Linked DNA regions of Macaca mulatta. The protein of the gene in region 2 interacts with the protein of the main gene of each other region in a biochemical or structural test. Links are inferred from orthologs where the notes say so. Each region holds a gene or a part of one and is shown on either strand. Other genes may lie near its edges.

The links.
Region 1: the proteins of GNAZ (region 2) and LRRK1 form a complex in vitro, tested with the Homo sapiens proteins (2 studies listed by BioGRID and IntAct, with this or other methods). The link is inferred for Macaca mulatta from reciprocal best matches to the Homo sapiens genes GNAZ and LRRK1.
Region 3: the proteins of GNAZ (region 2) and RGS20 form a complex in vitro, tested with the Homo sapiens proteins (2 studies listed by BioGRID, with this or other methods). The link is inferred for Macaca mulatta from reciprocal best matches to the Homo sapiens genes GNAZ and RGS20.

The regions. Positions count from the first base shown.
Region 1 is NC_133412.1:91,285,305-91,289,604, reverse strand, and holds the start of LRRK1 (leucine-rich repeat serine/threonine-protein kinase 1), read right to left. Parts: upstream 2,801-4,300; 5' UTR 2,528-2,800; exon of another isoform or gene 2,263-2,527; intron 2,016-2,262; exon of another isoform or gene 1,502-2,015; intron 1,246-1,501; exon of another isoform or gene 1,089-1,245; intron 1-1,088.
Region 2 is NC_133415.1:29,499,576-29,503,075, reverse strand, and holds part of GNAZ (guanine nucleotide-binding protein G(z) subunit alpha), read left to right. Parts: intron 1-192; 5' UTR 193-641; coding exon 642-1,364; intron 1,365-3,500. UniProt on the Homo sapiens protein: Guanine nucleotide-binding proteins (G proteins) are involved as modulators or transducers in various transmembrane signaling systems.
Region 3 is NC_133413.1:64,602,272-64,606,115, forward strand, and holds part of RGS20 (regulator of G-protein signaling 20), read left to right. Parts: intron 1-2,328; coding exon 2,329-2,563; intron 2,564-3,844. UniProt on the Homo sapiens protein: Inhibits signal transduction by increasing the GTPase activity of G protein alpha subunits thereby driving them into their inactive GDP-bound form.

The DNA.
Region 1 (4,300 bases), on a different chromosome or scaffold from region 2:
GGCCCAGTGCTGGACAGTGAGCTCAGTCAGGGTGGCTGGGGGCAATGGCCTGGTGGTCTGAGATAGCAGAGGCTGGATCAGCTGGGGGTGTAAGGAGAAGGAGGTCTCCTGGATCGCATGCCAATGGCAAGGAGAAGCTACTGAAGGATTCCATACAGAGGACTGATATAGTCCTATTTACCCATTTAAACACACACACACACACACACACACACACACACACAAACACACACGCTGCTATATAGAGAATGGAAGGAGGGGGAACTGTAATCCTACAGTAAAGAGATGCTGGTACCCGGGACAAGGGGTGGGGGACATAAGAAAAAAGGGGACAGACCAGGACACATTTTAGACGTAGATCCACAGACTGAATGTTTTTGATCTGAGCATCTGAGTTGATTGTGAGGTCACTCCCTGAGACATTGACATTTGGGAGAAGGAAAAGTTTGGCTGACAGCAAAACCTCCTTTAGGAACAAATTAGGTGTGAGGTTAGTTTGTTATACTATTTTCTCTTTCAGGACATAGGCACAGATGAAGAAAATCAAATCATAAAAGACATTTAACTTAACATTTTCCAAAATTGTGCATGTTCTAGCTGTCCCTTTAATGTCTGGGCATTTTGATACCCTGCGAGTGAGTGGCAAACTCTAAAATTAGTGTACATGGTGAGAGGTTTGCTAAAAGCTATATGCCCCTGTTTCTCTACCTGTTGCAGGGGATGTGTTTGTGGGAGAAAAATTTCGTGGCCTCAAACTGTGAAGGGGTAGGTTGAAATGGCCACAGGGGTCTTTATATTCTCCACCATCGGCTCCCGGCTGACCCCGGCCTTACTAGGCTTCCTCGCCTGCGTCCCTGCCTGCCGGGAAGGTCCTGCGTAGGTTGCAGAGACCATGGCAGACATAGCAGTTGTACCAGCCAGAGACACCTGGGCAAGAAGCATAACCCAGACATTGAGGAGGGTGAAGCCTCGCTGGGCCACCCCGCAACACCAGGAAGCCCTGGAGCAGTGAGAGACTCCTGGGCTGTCTCTTGTCAACACCCTGGCACAGGCACAACCGCGCGCTCACTCTCCGCCCGCTCCCCGTTAAAGGACGGGGTTTTCTCCAAAGGGAGAGGAAATATATGGACGCCCTGGTGTATTTGCCTGCTTGTGTTTCTTGCCTCTGCTTCCCAGCGTTCCCGACCCTGTCCCATACGGGGTTTCGGGGTTCCCCGCTCGGGCCCGCACACCCCCCTACCACAGGTTGGCTGGGCTACGGGCGTGGCGGGAGGCAGCCGGGACGTGAGACTGGGGGTCACCCCACACGCCCTCCGCGCCCCTCGGGCTGCGGCCCCTGCGCAAGGGCCACCCATGTCCGACCATGCGGCCGCCTGGAGCGCAGGCCCGCGGCAGGCAGAGGCCAGGGCTCCCCGCGGACGCGGGCGCGGGCTCCGGATTCCCGGGCCGGCCGCAGGAGGCAACCAGGTCCCTGGGGGGCGCGGAGAGGAACAGCACTTACCTGCGGCGGCGGCGGGGCCCGGGTACGGACGCTCCGGGACGCGGGGCTGGGCGGACACTGGCGGGCCGGGGCCTGGCCGTCCCACAGCCGTCTGCCCCCCGCGCCTCGGGCCGCGCGCCGGGGCCGGGCCCAGACGCACTTCCTCAATCCTGAGGCCGGCGGGCGGGCGGGGAGGGCGAGTGGCGCGAAGAGCTCGCAGAGCAAGGCCGCCGCCAGCTCTCGCCGGAATGGTTTCGAGGCGTCCCCTCGGTGGCCGCCTCAGTTTCCCTAGCCGTAAAACGCGGGCGATCGCGCTCAACCCCAGTGCCCCGGGAGACGCCGGGGTCCGCGGGCCATTCTAGTACCAGGTCTCTCCCTCAGGTTCGGGCACTCGGCTCCCTCCACGCGGGGCAAGCGCGGCGATGAGATTGGTCGGTGCTGCGCTCAGCCCCGCTTTCACTATCCCTCTGCTCTAGTGGCAGCAAAATCAGCAGATCAGCCCCTAACTTGCATGTGGCCCATACACTCCGTCCGTAAAAATTAAAAAGACAGGGAATATTCATTTGTGTACAGTTCTTTCCAGGGCAATACAGAAATATGTAGTTCTAAAGCGTTAACGATTTGCAGTTTGCACATCCTCCATCATATGGATTTTACTAATTCAATAATGGATGTATGCAAAGTATTTGCTGTTTGGTGAATCATGTTTAATTGTCGGCTTTGGGGGGAATACATAAAACATGGAATATTGGTAATTTATCGTGTTTCAACCTTTCATAAAGGTGTCATCAGGCTGCTGAGGCTAATATAGAAACGCAGACCATAAAGATCCGCGTCCACTCTGCAGGAGGGCCTCACACTGAGCTCCACGTGTCGACCCAGGGAAAAGGCCTGCTCAGGAAAAGCAGAGGGTTCCACGCCCTGCAGGACCAGCACCCTAGGCTCCTCTTCTGAAGTGTTATGACTCGCATATTCCCAGGATTTCGCGCAGATCTCCCCCACCCTCACTGACATTTCACAGAACCCGGGCAGCTACAGGGCTCTTACAGGACCTCCCGGACACCGCGGGACCGTGTTTCCTTGAGCGGCTTCTTGGGTCCCTGGTTGGCGAGGGGACCACCGAGCAGGTCTGCTCTGCTCCTGGGAGGCTGCTCCTGCCACTGGACGAGTTTCCAAAAAGGTAAGCGCAGTTCTGCAATCCTGTTCTCACCCCTGAGGGCCTCACACCAGTTTACAGGAGCCAGCAGTGTGATTGCTACAGATAAGTTCCCAACAGTTTGCAGGGCGTGGTGTCCTCAGTGCTGAGAGAGCCCCGCGACTGAGGCGCAGCTCCTCCAGGGCGCGCAGCCCCGCCACCTGGCGCCACCGCGAGGGAGCGCAGGCCCAGGGCCCGGGCAGCCGCTGGAGGGGACGCCGCCCAGTAAGGCGGGGCACCTCCGCTTCCCTTCTAAATGAGCTTGGGAATAGGCTAGGAAATGTCCCCAATGTAGAAAACAGCAGGAACATTTGACACGCGGATGACCTGTGTTGAGCCCGTTATATTCCCAGCATTTAATTCTAGCCATTAGGCATGTGTTAGCCACAACTTCTCATAGGAAGGCTATTGCAGATAAGTTAAGATTCCTTTCCACTTCTTCCTAAGGCTCGCTGACCCACGGTTCTCTAGCTTTTGTTGGTAATCCCACCCGGATTCTCAGCACCCTAGGTTGGAATGACCCCTCCTGAGGTGGGTGAGGTCAGCTGGAAGCCACCTCCCTGAACTGACTTTTCTCTCTTTTTGAAGGCACAGTGGCTGAGAGCTCCTTCTGTGTTTTCTGGTTGTTTTTCTTCAGCCCAGTTCGCAGTTTCCTCTGACAGTCTTCCTTGAACAACTTCCTAAACGCCCTTCATGAACCCCCTTCAAGCTCATGCCTAGGAGCAAGGAGCAAATCTTCATCCACCAGCAGAAGAAGCTAGGCCATCCCAAAGGGTCCACTTCTAGAGAGTGTGCCAACCCCCACACGCACACCAGGCACACAAATGCATGTGTGCACACGCACACTACACCCTCCAATTGTCCCCAGAATGGCTCCCTTCAGGGAGTCACATTCCGGGACACCAAATGAGGGAAAATATCCTTCTCCTATAGTTTTCTGCTCGCATTTGGATTGAGAAATGGGATGTCTCTAAATAATGTGTCTAAATTCTCTTAACATAAGTGTGTATCTTACGAGAGATCTGATCCCAGCCTCCCTTAAGTTTTTTGTTAAAGAGGTGGTGCTTTGCCACCCACATCAAAGTGATCTGGGCTTTCTACATCAAATGCACAGGTTGAGCTTCAAGAACATACCCCAGTACCACCAATGATCTTGATCCAGTGTCAGTGTCAGCTCCCAACGTGGTGATTGAGGCTTCTTGGTTAGAAGCTTTAGAAACTTGAGGTCAGTGAAACCCAAATTGATCCTTTCTCTAGATCCTCAGAGGAAAAGGTGACAAAAACAGACACTTGTGCTCACAGTCAGGGGCACAATGCTGTCTGTCAATCCTCATGCGGTCCTCCCCACCATTTCCCGCACTGACATCATTACCACTTAATGATAAACGGAGACTCAGGCAGCTTAGATGACAGCTGAAACTCAGCCAGATATGATGTGGAACCTCTGAGGCCCAGCTCCTTGCTTGGTCAACCCGAGCCCACAGAAATGGGTTTCAGAGTCAGGCAAAGCACTGGGCCCAATTGACAGAGTAAATGTAATTTTATGCTTACATTATTGATCCTGCTTTAATATCAGCCATTTTGTACAGGTCTCAGAAAGAGAAAGGCCTGCCATAGAATTCAAA
Region 2 (3,500 bases):
GCAGACACACGTGTTACACCGTGGTGTGGACCCTGCAGTGCCCCATGGAGGAGAGGGGGTCGGATGGATTGTTGCCGGCTCATTTTCCGAGGCCAGTCTCTGCTGCTCGGCTTTCAGAAGAGCTCCCTTTCACTGTCCAGCCTGAGGTGGGGCCACAGGGAGGAGGCTCACACTCTTCTCTGTGTTTGGCAGGTGAAGGGCTGGATGCACAGTGGGAGCCGGAGGCGGGGGGCTGCAGGGAGCACAGCAGTGACCAGCCCTCCAACCCTCCAACCACTCAGCAACATCGCCACAGCAACCAGCAACCAGACGGCAGCAGCCGAGGCAGACACAAGCGGACGGCTTCCCACCGTCGCTGAGGACAGGGAATGACTACGGCAAATCAGGCCACTTTGCTGACTAGGGAGGTGGAGTGTCACTAGTGGGGAGGGGCGGCCGCCGCCCGCTGCACAGAGCGCCATGCCGGCTGGAGAAGAGGCACTGGGGCAGGGGCTGCAGTGTGGCTCGGCCTCACCCCCCTGCTGGCACTGAGTGCCTCCAGGGCAGCTGGGCTCTCGTCTGCCTGGTCTCAGCGTCCCCTGTGGTAAGAGGGAGAGGCGCCCCGTCCCGTGCTCCTTGTCTGGGCCCGCTGCTGCCAGACCATGGGATGTCGGCAAAGCTCAGAGGAAAAAGAAGCAGCCCGGCGGTCCCGGAGAATTGACCGCCACCTGCGCTCAGAGAGCCAACGGCAGCGCCGCGAGATCAAGCTGCTCCTGCTGGGCACCAGCAACTCAGGCAAGAGCACCATCGTCAAACAGATGAAGATCATCCACAGCGGCGGCTTCAACCTGGAGGCCTGCAAGGAGTACAAGCCCCTCATCATCTACAACGCCATCGACTCGCTGACCCGCATCATCCGGGCCCTGGCCGCCCTCAGGATCGATTTCCACAACCCCGACCGCGCCTACGACGCTGTGCAGCTCTTCGCGCTGACAGGCCCCGCTGAGAGCAAGGGCGAGATCACACCCGAGCTGCTGGGCGTCATGCGGCGGCTCTGGGCCGACCCAGGGGCACAGGCCTGCTTCAGCCGCTCCAGCGAGTATCACCTGGAGGACAACGCGGCCTACTACCTGAACGACCTGGAGCGCATTGCCGCAGCTGACTACATCCCTACTGTCGAGGACATCCTGCGCTCCCGGGACATGACCACGGGCATCGTGGAGAACAAGTTCACCTTCAAGGAGCTCACCTTCAAGATGGTGGACGTGGGGGGGCAGAGGTCAGAGCGCAAAAAGTGGATCCACTGCTTCGAGGGCGTCACAGCCATCATCTTCTGTGTGGAGCTCAGCGGCTACGACCTGAAACTCTACGAGGATAACCAGACAGTAAGTGGGGCCGGGGGTTTTCCTCTGCTTGTTCCTGCTGTCACGGGTTCTTGGAAGCAAGAGGACTCGCGAGGTCCAGGACAGTCCGCAGCCAGAAAGGGAACCAGGCGCAGGCCTGGCCCTGCTGCACGATAAATGAGGCGGCTCCAGCAAGGTGGGGGCAGAGGGAGCAGGGTGTGGAGTGCAGGTGTCATGTCCCATGCCTGAAGTACTCAGGGTGTGGAGGCCACAGGGCAAGAGAGTGTGAGGCTCCGCCGGGCATCCGTGGTCAGTCCGTGTGATAGTTTGGCAAATCCATGAAGCTCCTGCCAGCACCAGTCTCCTACCAGCATGTAGGTCCAGGAACAGCAGCCAGCCCTGCAACCCCATCTTGAGCCTGAGAGTCTGGCAGAGATGGGGTTAAGAGCTCTTTAGAAGGGATAAGCCAGGTCCTGGTGGAAAGGGGACGACGTGAAAGCAGGTGTTGGGATTCTTTCACAGTGGCATGGGCACAGCCCGAGGGAGACCTGGGCCCAGTGCCAAGCACTGGGGGCTTGAGAGTGGAGTTGCTGGAGAGAGTGGGGAGCCAGGTGAAGCAGTGGAGCAGTGTGCTCAGGCCCAGCCAATACAGAAGGTCTAGCACACGAAGGGGGCCACAGCCAGGAGTGGCAGTGGTAGAGGCTGTGGCAGACAAGGGAGGGGCTGTCTTGCCCAGCAGGACGCCCTGAGCACAGATTTCAAGTCTCTCCTTAAGAGAGAGGCCTTTGACCCTGGGGATGGGATAGTGGGGGCAAACAAGGAGTCATGAAGTTGTGGGTGCCCTGGGGCTAGCGGAGGGTGATACTGGGAGACAAGGGCCCAGCCTCCCACTTGGGAGCACTGGCCTCTGAGGTCACTCCTTGCTTCACCCAGTCCTAAGGCAAGCTTTATTCTTTGGGTTCAGCCGAGAGCAACAATGGTTCTAGCTTTGGCCCTGTGCCCCAGCCAGGGAAACTGGACAGCTCCAGGCTGTAGCCATGGTGCTAGGAGCCTGAGTGTTCTGAGAGAGGATCTTCGGCTTTCATCAGGCAGCTGGGGAGGCAGGCTTGCCTCCCTCCACTCCTCGCTTCAGGGCTCTCCCTGGAACTGTGCCTACGTGTTGATGGCATGCCTGGGGGAAACGAATGATGGATGGGCAGGCAGGTGTGTACACAGGCGGCTGCATCCACCCTGCTCCCAGTGTGTATCTGTGTGCTCTCCAGGGTTCTGCCCCTTACCCTATGGTTGCCCCCAGTTCAGCCCCATGTGTGGTTCTGGGCAGAGGGGACATCCCAGCAGATGAGTGAGGTCAGGCTCCCTTGATGAGGCATGGCCATGGGCAGAGGCCTTGGGGCTGAGAAGCTGCAAGGCAAAATGAGGTGCTCAGGCTGGACCCCTGGGACAGTGCCATGGTGGGTCTGCCAGCCACCCTGCAGCTGCCAGTCACACGGGCTTGCACCACTGGCCTCATCCATCAACTCAGTGGCAGGCATGGCAAATTCCCCAGACACCAGGCCTGGCTCCCAGTTGCATCCTTTGACCGGCTGTGCCCGCAGGTGTGCTGGACCCAGGAGGCAGGATACCTGGGCCTTGAGTTGGTCCAGTGTTTCATGGAGGGCTTCGGCTGTTACCTTTGCTTTCTGAACTTGTCAGTGAGGAGATGACCCAGGTGTCTTCACAGATGGGCCCAAGGCTAGGCCTTTGCCTGCCCACAGCCCTCTCAGCTCTGCCTGGCCTGTGCCTCCCACCTTGCTGCCTCTCTCTTCTCTCCTTCTGCTCCAGCCGTGGTCAACATGTTTTGCTCCAGCAATATTGCTCTGTCCAGCCTTAAGCTTGTAACGATCCTGATACCTGCCTCTCACCCCCCTGCCCTTATCCTTCAGGTCTCATCCCAAGTGGCGCCTCCTGGGAGGCCTTTTCTAACCTAGCCTGGCACCTGTACACCCCTCTATCTAGTAATGTGTGAGTGAGCTCCTCAGGGCAGGCCCTGGATGGGCTGGGGGCCGCTGTGGGCCCTCGCATCTCTAGTCTTCCCTCTCCCAGGGCTGTCCCTGGGGAGAGCCACGGTGGGCAGCCATGAGCAGGGACAGCAGCCACTGGCCTGGCCTCAGGGATCCCTGTGAGGTTCCAGGCATTCAG
Region 3 (3,844 bases), on a different chromosome or scaffold from region 2:
AGAGGGAGAAAGAAAAAGCTATAGATGCTTGCCAAAAATTAAATGGTATATAAGTAAAGAAAGTGATCTAACCTCTAAGAGAGTAAACACTGTTAACACATTTCTTTTTTTTTTTTTTTTTTTTGGAGATGGAGTCTAGCTCTGTCGCCCAGGCTGGAGTGCAGTGGTGTGATCTTGACTCACTGCAACCTCTGCCTCCCGGGTTCAAGTGATTCTCATGCCTCAGCCTCCCAAGCAGCTGGGATTACAGGTACCCACCACCACACCTGGCTAATTTTTGTATTTTTAGTAGAGATGGGGTTTCACCATGTTGGCCAGGCTGGTCTTGAACTCCTGACCTCAGGTGATCTGCCCGCCTCAGCCTCCCAAAGTGCTAGGATTACAAGCGTGAGCCACTGTGCCCAGCCTGTTAACACATTTCTTAAAAAAAATGACCTGGAAGATTTGAAAACAAACAAAATAGAAGTTTTAAAAATGAAATATTATTGTTCAAATTGTTTTAAAATTGATGATTGAAATAAAAGATTAGATACAGCTAAATAAATAGTGAACCTGAAGGTATCCAAAAAGACCCATATAACAAGGAGATTGAAATACAGTTTGAGTATCCCTTATCCAAAATGCTTGGAACTAGAAATGTTTCAGATTTCAGATTTTTTCAGATTTCAGAATATTTGCATTATACTTACCAGTGGCTCACACCTGTAATCCCAGCACTTTGGGAAGCCAAGGTGGGTGGATCACCCGAGGTCAGGAGTTCCAGACCAGCCTGGCCAACATGGTGAAATCGCATCTCTACTAAAAATACAAAAAAGTAGCCGGGTGTGGTAGTGAGCACCTGTAATCCCAGCTCCTTGGGAGGCTGAGGCAGGAGAATCGCTTGAACCTGGGAGGCGGAGGTTGCAGTGAGTCGAGATCATGCCATTGCACTCCAGCCTGGGCTACAGAGAGAGACTCTGTCTTAAAAAAATAAAATAAATAAATAAATAAAAACTAAAGACTACATTTTTCAGGGTTACATACATACATTTAAAACTATGGAAACAAAATAAAAGAGATATTAAGGATCGTTATTAAGCTATGTTTTCTGATCTCGATACAATTATGACAGAAGTAAGAATTAACTCAAAGGGGTAACCCCAAAGTCAAGTATAGCAGTTCCCTAGGGGACGAAGCTGGGAGACAGTAGCAAGTAGAAGTAGCACCAAAATAAATGCAACATTGTCAGTGCTGTTCTGGTTCTTAAGGAAAATAGCCCATTCATAAGTGTTCATTTACACTGGAGACGCGGAAAGGTGGATGGGAGGGTGGGAGGTAGGTAAGGGATGAGAAATTACCTGATGATTACAATGCACACTATCCCATTGATGGCTACGCTAAAAACACAGGCTTCACCACTGTGCAGTGTATCCATGTAACAATGTATCCATGCACTTGCACCCCCAATTATATTTTTTAAATGTTTGTAATTTTTTTTTAAAAGTGAGTCAGATGCAGTGGCTCACACCTGTAATCCCAGCACTCTGGGAGGCCAAGGTGGGTGGATCGCTTAAGCCTAAGAGTTTGAGACCAGCCTAGGCAACATAGTAAGACCTGACTCCACAAAGAATACAAAAAATTAGCTGGGCATGGTGGCACCTGCCTGTAGTCCCTGCTACTTGGGAGGCCAAGGAGAGAGAATCATATGAGCATAGTAAGCCGAGGCTGCAGTAAGCTGTGATCACCCCACTGCACTCCAGCCTTGGCAACAAAGCGAGACTCTCAAAAAAAAAAAAAAAAAAAAAGTGTTCATTTTGTTGTCACCTTTGGACAGTACAGCGGTGGCATTTATAACTTGCATTTATATTACATATATTCTCTTTCTCAAATATTACATAATTTTAAAATACATTAAGCACACACTTGCTCTGTTGTTCTAGAGGTTTAATGTTGTCAAACCTGACTTAGTTCTGTTGTAGTACAGAACTCATCACAGGTGATTAGGAAGTTTTGGGTCAGATGGTTGTAGGATTTTTCTTTACATTTATAGTTTTAAAAATATTGCAAGATGTGCCCAGTTGTAAACAAGCATGTTCTTAGCAGTTATTATAGCAACTTGGTTTGCAAGCCTTTTGGTATGCAATCCAGCAAACAATGTGAAAGTATCATATTCATGTGTTTTTCCCAAAGGCTTGAAGAAAGGAGAACAGCTCTTCTCCTTCCTAAAAGGGCCTAAATGCATATATTTCTCATTCTTGGAGGAGGAAAAGATACATTTCTAATGATGAAATTCCAATTAACTACCACTAACAGTTCCCCTATGCCCCTTCTCTTTTGGTCTCCACGAAGCCCTGCTCCTACTCTGGAAGAAGTCAATGCCTGGGCTCAGTCATTCGACAAATTAATGGTCACTCCAGCAGGAAGGAATGCATTCCGTGAATTCCTCCGAACAGAATTCAGTGAAGAAAATATGCTCTTCTGGATGGCCTGTGAGGAACTGAAAAAGGAAGCTAATAAAAACATTATTGAAGAGAAAGCAAGGATAATCTATGAAGACTACATTTCTATACTTTCTCCTAAGGAGGTATGTGACCACGAAATGCCTTCTCCCAAGGCTGATGGTAAAAGTATTAACTTGGTGCAAAAGCAACTGCCACAGGCCGGGCACGTTGGGTCACGCCTGTAATCCCAGCACTTTGGGAGGCTGAGGCGGGCAGATCACCTGAGGTCAGGAGTTGGAGACCAGCCTGACCAACATGGTGAAACCCCGTCTCTACCAAAAATACAAAAATTAGCCTGGTGTGGTCACGGGTGCCTGTAATCCCAGCTGCTTGGGAGGCTGAGGCAGGAGAATCACTTGAACCTAGGAGGCAGAGGTTGCAATGAGCTGAGATTGCGCCACTGCACTCCAGCCTGGGTGACAAGAGCGAAACTCCATCTCAAAAAACTAAACAAAAGTAATCATCTTTTTTTTCTTTTTTTCTTTTTTGAGACAGAGTCTCACTCTGTCGCCCAGGCTGGAGTGCAATGCTACGACCTTGGCTCAGTGCAACCTCTGCCTCCCGGGTTCAAGTGATTCTTCTGCCTCAGCCTCCAGAGTAGTTGGATTATAGGTACGCACCACCACGCCTGGCTAATTTTTGTATTTTTAGTAGAGACAGGGTTTCACCATGTTGGCCAGAATGGTCTTGATCTCTTGACCTCATGATCCACCCACCTTGGCCTCCCAAAGTGCTGGGATTACAGGCATAAGCCACTGTGCCTGGCCTCGCCATTACTTTTAACTTTTTCCAGAAAAATGCACAAAAGTTTTCACAGATTTCAGAGGACACTTGGAGCCCTTCTGCAGGTCCACAGTCAAAGGGATCTGCATACCGTGAATGCGGGTGCAGCTGTTTTCTACATTTTGCAGTTGCTGTTCTGGGTCAAGCTGAACATGACCAAACAGCTGCACCCTCATTCACAGCATTCAGATCCCTTTGACTGTGGACCTGCAGAGGGGCTGCAAGTGTCCTCTGAAATCTGTGAAAACTTTTGTGCATTTTTCTGGAAAAAGTATCCCCTGGAGTCTGCATTTGATGGTGAACACTGTTTACAAACATTACACCCTAAGAAGTTCCTTTAAATAAAATTATCTTGTTATTCTGAGAAAAATATTGTCTTTAGGTATCTTGATGTTACAGGGCAGCAGCATCACAGATGTGATACTGATGCGGAAAAGGTTTTCCCCAGGCTGGCCTTTTCACATTCAAGAAATTATCAGTTGAATGAGATTGGGCAAGTTTCCACCTGTCAGAGTTTCAGTTACTTCAGATCTAAAATGTAGGAGGTCAGGCCTGGCACAGTGGCTCACTTCTGTAATCCC